2 linked regions of the Ovis aries genome follow. The main gene of each other region encodes a partner of the protein of the gene in region 2 in a complex. Links are inferred from orthologs where the notes say so. Each region holds a gene or a part of one and is shown on either strand. Other genes may lie near its edges.

The links.
Region 1: the proteins of NRP1 (region 2) and PLXNA4 are in contact, whole or in part, in a cryo-EM structure (PDB 7M0R), measured with the Mus musculus proteins. The link is inferred for Ovis aries from reciprocal best matches to the Homo sapiens genes NRP1 and PLXNA4. Residues at the interface, in NP_032763.2 of Mus musculus: Arg80, Tyr84, Asp126, Tyr127, Glu128; in NP_786926.2 of Mus musculus: Glu272, Lys340, Lys343, Lys345, Leu349.

The regions. Positions count from the first base shown.
Region 1 is NC_056057.1:97,513,274-97,517,087, reverse strand, and holds part of PLXNA4 (plexin-A4), read left to right. Parts: intron 1-1,598; coding exon 1,599-1,735; intron 1,736-2,996; coding exon 2,997-3,161; intron 3,162-3,814. UniProt on the Homo sapiens protein: Coreceptor for SEMA3A. Necessary for signaling by class 3 semaphorins and subsequent remodeling of the cytoskeleton. Plays a role in axon guidance in the developing nervous system. Class 3 semaphorins bind to a complex composed of a neuropilin and a plexin.
Region 2 is NC_056066.1:19,103,220-19,107,033, forward strand, and holds part of NRP1 (neuropilin-1), read left to right. Parts: intron 1-2,331; coding exon 2,332-2,606; intron 2,607-3,096; coding exon 3,097-3,193; intron 3,194-3,814. UniProt on the Homo sapiens protein: Cell-surface receptor involved in the development of the cardiovascular system, in angiogenesis, in the formation of certain neuronal circuits and in organogenesis outside the nervous system. Mediates the chemorepulsant activity of semaphorins.

The sequences.
Region 1 (3,814 bases), on a different chromosome or scaffold from region 2:
TTTTTAAACACCTGCCCCTATCGCCCTCTCCTGGGCCCCTGGAATAATTCCGGGCCCTGTTAACCCCACACAGAAATGCCACTGCAAAGCCAGGATTACTCACCTCTACCCCTTCTACCCATCAGGCTGTCAGAAAATCTGTTTTCTGTTTCACTTGGCCCCTACCCCTAAGTCACTCACTCACACCCCCTTTCCTCTCTGGGGAGGTCAGCAGGAGCCACCTTTGAAAGCTCTCCCGTTACAGACTGCAGGACAAAGGCACCATCGGTGAGAGGTTAGAGCCAGAAAATTGTCAGGCGCTTCTTTTTTTTTCATTCTTTGTAATCAGAGAGGTTGAGTGATTTGCGCCAGGTCACACAGCGCGATCTAGGCAAAGCTGAAAAAGGAAGGCTCTTTCCTAAGCTTCTTCCCATCTTTGCGCGGATCTCAGGGTGAGCCAGCATCAGAGCCAGGATAAGCCTTTCCTGGGCTTGGTGGGTGCCACGGGGCTGCCAGGTTCGAGATCAGCAGGGACCGGGTGAGCGGGCCCGCGAACGCGCCCGCGCAATGGTACTCGTGTGTCCCGGCGCTTCCCCGCCCGTGTGCCCAGAGACAGCCGAGGCCGCCCCTGTCAGGCCGCCGGGCTGCGGGCTTCGCTTGACACTTCTCCTCCCCTTGTGTTATTGATCGAGGCCTCTCCGAGCGGAGGTGGCCTGCCCGCTTCGAGGAGCTGAGTGGGTTCAACTTTTGGTGCTGAATTCTTTATGGGAGTAGAGTAGGGAGAAATCTTCATTTAAATGCAGATACAGGCTTCTCACCTGGGACTAAGGAAAGTTTTTTCCATTAAAATGCTAATGAAAGAACAAACTGAAACTCCAAATCCTCAGCTCACAGAGCCGTCCCCCGCCCCCCCCCCACCCCACCCCCAGTCCGACTCTTCACTCCATCCCTTGACCTTTCTTTGCTTCTTCTGCTGGGTTTCTGTGGAACTCACACATCCTGTGGCCCTGGCTTCTGGGAGCTTTCAGCAGCTCTCTGTGAGAGGCCTGTGGACGGGGCGACTCATCTTCTTGAAAGGAACCCATGCTGTAGACTGGTGAGGGGGTGAACTCCAGCCCCGGAGTTGTGTCTCAGGCCACTGCTTCACTCCGCTGCTGCCGAGTCGCTTCAGTCGTGTCCGACTCTGCGACCCCATAGCCGGCAGCCCGCCAGGCTCCCCTGTCCCTGGGATTCTCCAGGCAAGAACACTGGAGTGGGTTGCCATTTCCTTCTCCAGTGCGTGAAAGTGAAGTCGCTCAGTGGAGTCCGACTCTTAGCGACCCCATGGACTGCAGCTCACCAGGCTCCTCCATCCATGGGATTTTCCAGGCAAGAATACTATGACCTTGGAAATTTAACATCTCTGACTCTTGTCTTTAAGATGGGCAATGATGCCTACCTTGTAGAATTGATAGAGCGATTAAGTGTATATATATGTGTATATATATATATATGAAGGGCATATGTACCTGCTTGCTGGGAGGCTTCCATGACTAAGGATTCTGGAAGGCGGCTCCAGGATGGGGCGCTGCCTTGGGCCTGCCCAGAAGCATCCTCAGGCCAGATCCTTTCCTGCACAGACGCTGACTCTCTCAGACCTGAAGCCTAGCCGGGGGCCCAGGTCCGGAGGCACACAGGTGACCATCACGGGCACCAACCTGAACGCAGGCAGCAACGTGGTGGTGATGTTCGGCAAGCAGCCCTGCCTCTTCCACAGGTAACTCACCTCAGGGCCAGCTCCAGGGATCCTGGCGCAGAGGGTGGGCGGGGCTGACTCCAGCTGGCCTTTTGGAGGTGCTTCTTCCTTCCTGAGAAAGTGACCATTCTCTCTGAGAGGAGACTTTATGGGCATGCTTGGCTGTGGCTCATTCCGGGGACCTGCCAGGGATCCCTACCCTGGATGGACCTGTCATGCTGTCTCCTACCATTTAGCCTGGGTGCCCCCATACCACCCGCTGTGCAGGACCCTAGGGTTCCATAGGACAGGGTTTGGAATCTAGGGTTATCTGCCCCCTGGGTTAGCTCTGGGCAGCTACTGCAGTGCCAGCCAGGACTGCTAAAACCTGGCCGAGTGTCACAGAACCTCCAAAGGCAACCGACTTTCTTTTCCTTCCTCTAGTTCCAGTGTCCAGTCCCAGGAGGACACACCTTCCAGGAACCAGGAGCCAGGAACCTGGGGTGGGGTGAGGGTTGGGAAGGAGGCGGGAGGTGAGAGGTACATCTAATCCATAGCTAGAAGAGATGTGGTTGGCAGGAAGCTCTGCAGAGAGATTGTCCTCTGCAGAGAGAGATCATCCTGGGAGAGCGCTATACTGAGGGCCTGATCTAAATCAGGCCAGGCCAGACCTTGCCTGAGTGTTCCAGAAAACATGGCTCTGACACTTGTTAAAATGGTAAGAAAGAGCTTGTTCAGGACTGCTGCAATAGGTGTCAGGACTATCGCAATGGGGCTAGAGATCAGACTTCAAATACAGCAGATAGCTGGGGATTTATAGCCAAGGAGCAGTGAGGGAGGCTGAGGATGGAAAATTACTAAGAGGAAACAAGGTTAAGAGGATTCTTGCTAAACCGACTTAACAAGACTCTTGCTGAAGGCAGTCAAGGTGATCAGGTATCAAGAGTGAGGGAGACAGAAGCTGCCCAGATATCAGGGGTACTTAGATATCAGGGTGGGGTGGGGGATTCTTACTAAATTGAGTTAGCAGGATTCTTGCTAAAAATGGGAGTAGGCTAGTGGAAGGCAGGACCCCAGAAAGAAGCCTAGTCAAAAAAGCAGGCTCCGAGGAACCTGTCTATAGTTGGGTCAAGGACAGAGTCTTGATCAGTAGATCTCAGATTAGTAGTGTCCAGGGCAGCGCTCACCCACTGCCCCCAAGGAGTCTGATGAACAGGGAGGGGTGCAGGAGGGCCCTGACCCCAGACCACGGTCCTGCCCGACACCCAGGATCCCAGCTCTCTGTCTCCCCTCCTCCCTCCAGGCGCTCTCCATCCTACATCGTCTGCAACACAACGTCCTCAGATGAGGTGCTGGAAATGAAGGTGACGGTGCAGGTGGACAGGGCCAAGATCCACCAGGACCTGTTCTTCCAGTACGTGGAGGATCCCACCATCGTGCGGATCGAGCCCGAGTGGAGCATTGTCAGGTAGGGGCTGCCCCGACCTTGGGTTTCCCTCCTTGAGTCTCAGAAACCTAGGAGATGGACTGGGCTTGGTGTGGGTCAGATGTTCCGGCAGGGGTTCCCTCTTTCTACTGAGAACGCCTCTGAGCGGGACCCGGCCCTGGAGGCCAAACTCTGGCCAGCAGGAGCTTACAGTCCCCGATTTGAGGATTGGTGGGCAACTAGGAAAATGGTGAGCGCTCTGGATTCTGAACCCAGCTATCCGAGTTCAAATCTTGGTGGGAATTTTGGGCTTCCCAGGTGGCGCTAGTGCTAAAGAACCTGCTTGCTGATGCAAAAAACATAAGGGATGCAAGTTCGATCCCTGGGTAGGGAAGATCCCCTGGAGAAGGGAATGGCAACCCACTCCAGTATTCTTGGCTGGAGAATCCCATGGACAGAGAAGCCTGGAAGACTACAGTCCAAAGGGTTGCACAGAATCAGACATGACTGAAGCGACCTAGCACACACGTATGCACGGGTAACTAGGAGGCTGGACGGGGCTGCTGAGGGCATCCTGACGGCATGGATGCTCCCTGGTGATCATTGGGAAACCTTTGTATCAATGCCTGGGTAGGGGGGCAGGGTGGGAAGTAGACTTAGGGTTAGAAGGACTGAGTGTAACTCAGCTCCACTGC
Region 2 (3,814 bases):
TGGATAAAATTGAACTCCTTCAATTCTGAGACACTTTCAATTGAATCTTAAGACAAGCAGTTTTAGAAAACTTAAAATACTTTGACTGTAAATGGCACTGTACGTAGAAATGGCACCAAATTAACCAAATGCAATTAGCTGAAATGAAGGCAGTAATGGTGGAAAAATTGATGCAAAGTGAAGCAAAAAGGCTCAGTAGGATCTGACATTCAAAGGAGGTTAAAAGCTACGTTAGCCAGAGACAAAAGCTAAAAGGCTTACAGAAGTACAGTGCTAATTGAGAAAACGGAGAGAGAGTTCCTGACCTAGAATTGCGATAAAACCCCGAAAGGAAAAATATCAGCGCTTTCTGTGTTGGAGTGTCAGAAAAGGCAGGCGTGTCTTAGATGAACGGCTGAGAAGTGCGATTCCTTCAGAAGCATTTTCCTCTTTTGTCCTCCCGGGAGCCCTCCAGATCCACCCAGACCAGAAAGAGCCCCCGCAGCACTAAACTTGCAATCATTTGCTGAGCGAGCTGGGTGAGCCCGGCATCTGAAAGGCAGGGACTTGTTAACATGAAAGTCTGGATGAAAAGAGCCCCACACACAAGACACACGCACACAGCCTGCCACAGCTCATGTGCGGTGCTTTGCAAATCAGACGTGGAGGCTTCTGAAAATGAACAGTATCTAGGTACAATAGTCTGTGGCCCGATTTTGAATTTATCAAAGGGATCCCGATTGGTTTTCCGCATTGGACCTCTAACAATGGAGCTGTGTCATTTCTCATAGAGGATTCCCCAAACCCGTGGCAGATGCTGGGAGGGGCACGGGAGATGTAGGTATAAAGGAGGGAGTCCGAGCCTGGGGGCATTCACAGTCTGGTTCCAGGTGAGGAACAACTCACCCGTGCCATGGGATGAGGGTGTCCAATAGCAGGGGGAGCAGGGGTGGCAGAAGACAGCACAGGAGGGAGCAAAGATGCAGGCCTGGCTCAGGGACCAGCTCTGCTAAGCATCCTCAACCTCATTCTTCTCCACACAATGGGGGCAAGGCGGCAGAGGCAAGGTGGGGGAAGGTCTTACCTGCCTGTCTAGGTGGGCTGAGAGAGGTGGCACCATCACACAGACAGGTGACCATCATTAGGTAAATCAGTGGGAGAAAACAGACCCCAGGAGTGACCGAGTCTACACGGTCCAGGAGAGATCGAGATCGCACACATTCTGCTGGGGCTTCGGCTTCTATTTCCCACCTTCCTTTCTTTATCCCACCCACCGGTTTTATTAAGAGTGCTGAGGAGCCTCTCATACAAGCACCCTGGTGAGGGAGGAAGATGGTGGGCGAGGACACACCCACTCCACCTGCACGCTGCTGACACAGGGCGCGCCCACATACACGCAGTGCAAGAGCATCTCCCAAAGGTGCCAGCCCCTCGGGTGGCACACACAACACCCCATTGCCCACTGAAGCTCGCCATCAGATCCGCGCTTTCATCAGGTGCGGCGTTCAAGTAGCATTTCTATTTGCAGAGCAAACAGTGAAACATGAGTTGTGTGTTTAGACCAGGTGGCAGCAGGAGGCAGTGCTCCCACCGGGGGTCATTAACAGGAAAGCCGGGAGTTAGTCCTCCAAGCTCAGCAAGCATCTCCGTTGCTGAAATGGCACATTCTAATAAGCCTCAGAAAAAGCGGCCTCTCCTCTCCTGGAACCAGAAGCCTACATCAAACAAGAGCGGGACTCACAGTTGAATTTCAAGCTCTCAGGTGTATTTAAGGAACTTATTAATATAAGCCATTAAAATAAACTAGGGGGAAAGAATTGGAATTTGAAGTTGGGGGGGGGGGGAAACTGCCAGATTATGTGGACAGACAGCAGCTTCATTGTTATCAGGCAGTTATAGTAACCAAAGCATCATCCACCAGAAGTCTTCCTGCTCCAATGGTAAATAAATAAGAATATATCTAAATATTTACATTTACTCTCTGTGTTCACACACATGTGGCTCAAGTCTTAAAATTGCATGGAAATAGGTCTTCCAGTACATCTGATCTGCTTGCAATGGTGTAGAGACCAATGCAGGTCATAGCCCGTGTCCATGTGACCATGCATTCTAGATAAGTGGTATCCGACTATTGAGGTTTCCAGTTTCCAGCACAAACGTCCTTTCACGGATGCCAAGAGCAGAGCCTTTCAACACCACTGAGGTTACCTACCATTACCCACTTCACCACCACCACCGCTGCACAATTGGGTTCTGGTGCTCTGGCCAGGAGAGGTTTGAGAGCAGAACTTGATGGAAAAGAGACAGAGGTTCATCCATCTGGCCATTCCCCAACACAGCTTTTTGTCACAGCAGGAGATGGCAACTTCATCTACTCCCAAGCTGATGAAAACCAAAAGGGCAAAGTGGCTCGCCTGGTGAGCCCCGTGGTTTATTCCCAGAACTCTGCCCACTGCATGACCTTCTGGTATCACATGTCTGGTTCGCACGTGGGCACGCTGAGGGTCAAGCTGCGCTACCAGAAGCCGGAGGAGTATGACCAGCTGGTCTGGATGGCCATCGGACACCAAGGGGACCACTGGAAAGAAGGGCGTGTCCTGCTCCACAAATCTTTGAAGCTTTACCAGGTGAGCCCCCTTTCCTTGGTCGGGGCAGGCAGCTGCTTCGGGGGCACTGGGATGCTGTTTGAAAGCTATGCAAATGAGATGCAGGAATCATTCCAAAAATTATTTCAGGTGTGTCCTCAACCTGAGATACCGATGCACCAATGATCATCTAGGTAGCATTATTTCTTAGTCTCCTAGTTGACAGCCAGGGGACTGATTGCTGAGAAAGAAGGGAAATGCTACCCTATAATTATTTAGGGCTGTCACAATCAACATTCCTTTTATTTGCTGCTCTTCCTAGTTTTAGATTCTGTGTCACACAAAGAGAATGTGAGGAGAAGTTTTATACCATCCTCAAGCAGTTAATATGGATTGAAGAGCAAATCGCGTGCTCGTTCGAAATCTCATGAATTTCATTTACGTGCTGTGACTTGAGCTGCACAAACATATGTAAACACTGTTATTTGGGACCAAACATTTAAATACTGTGGAAATGATCTCATTTTGTTAGGTGATTTTTGAGGGTGAAATCGGAAAAGGCAACCTTGGCGGGATTGCGGTGGATGATATTAGCATCAATAACCACATCCCTCAAGAGGACTGCGCAAGTAAGTATGGGTTGCTGTAGAAACCAATGCGGTGCTTGCTCAGGGCATGAGTCTTTCCACTTTATGGTCTTTGTCATGCTCACTTAGACCTAGAATTTTAATGTGGGCTATAAGCACGTCCTATAGATGTGCTTGCTTTGATACAACAAGGCATAAAGCCAGGTCAGTCTACCTTCAGCTACCGCATCATCTAACCTGGTTCACTTAGAATGTTTGGTTAGTATTCACGGAAGTACACCAATAATGTGCAACCAAAAATCATAGCAAAGAAGAAACTCACAATTTCCAGGCCATGCCTAAACATTGTGATGAAAAGTGGAAAACTCAGATATCTGGGTAATTCCAGATATCTCAATGTATAAACAAAATAGGAAGCCTTTCAAATTTTTCATCACAGTGGATTTAATGAAGATTATATTGTGAATGGATCATAGACAACATCATTCTTTGATTTATTATAAAAATAAGTAGAGGTTTCTGACTCTCCGAACAGTTGAAATGCCTCAAAAGAATAAATGAAATTTAGAGATTTTGCCTAGCATTTCAGAGTTTATGGATTTTTCTTGGCCTGGTGTATATGAATAAAAGTCTTGACATAGAAAACCAATTCATACTCCCAGT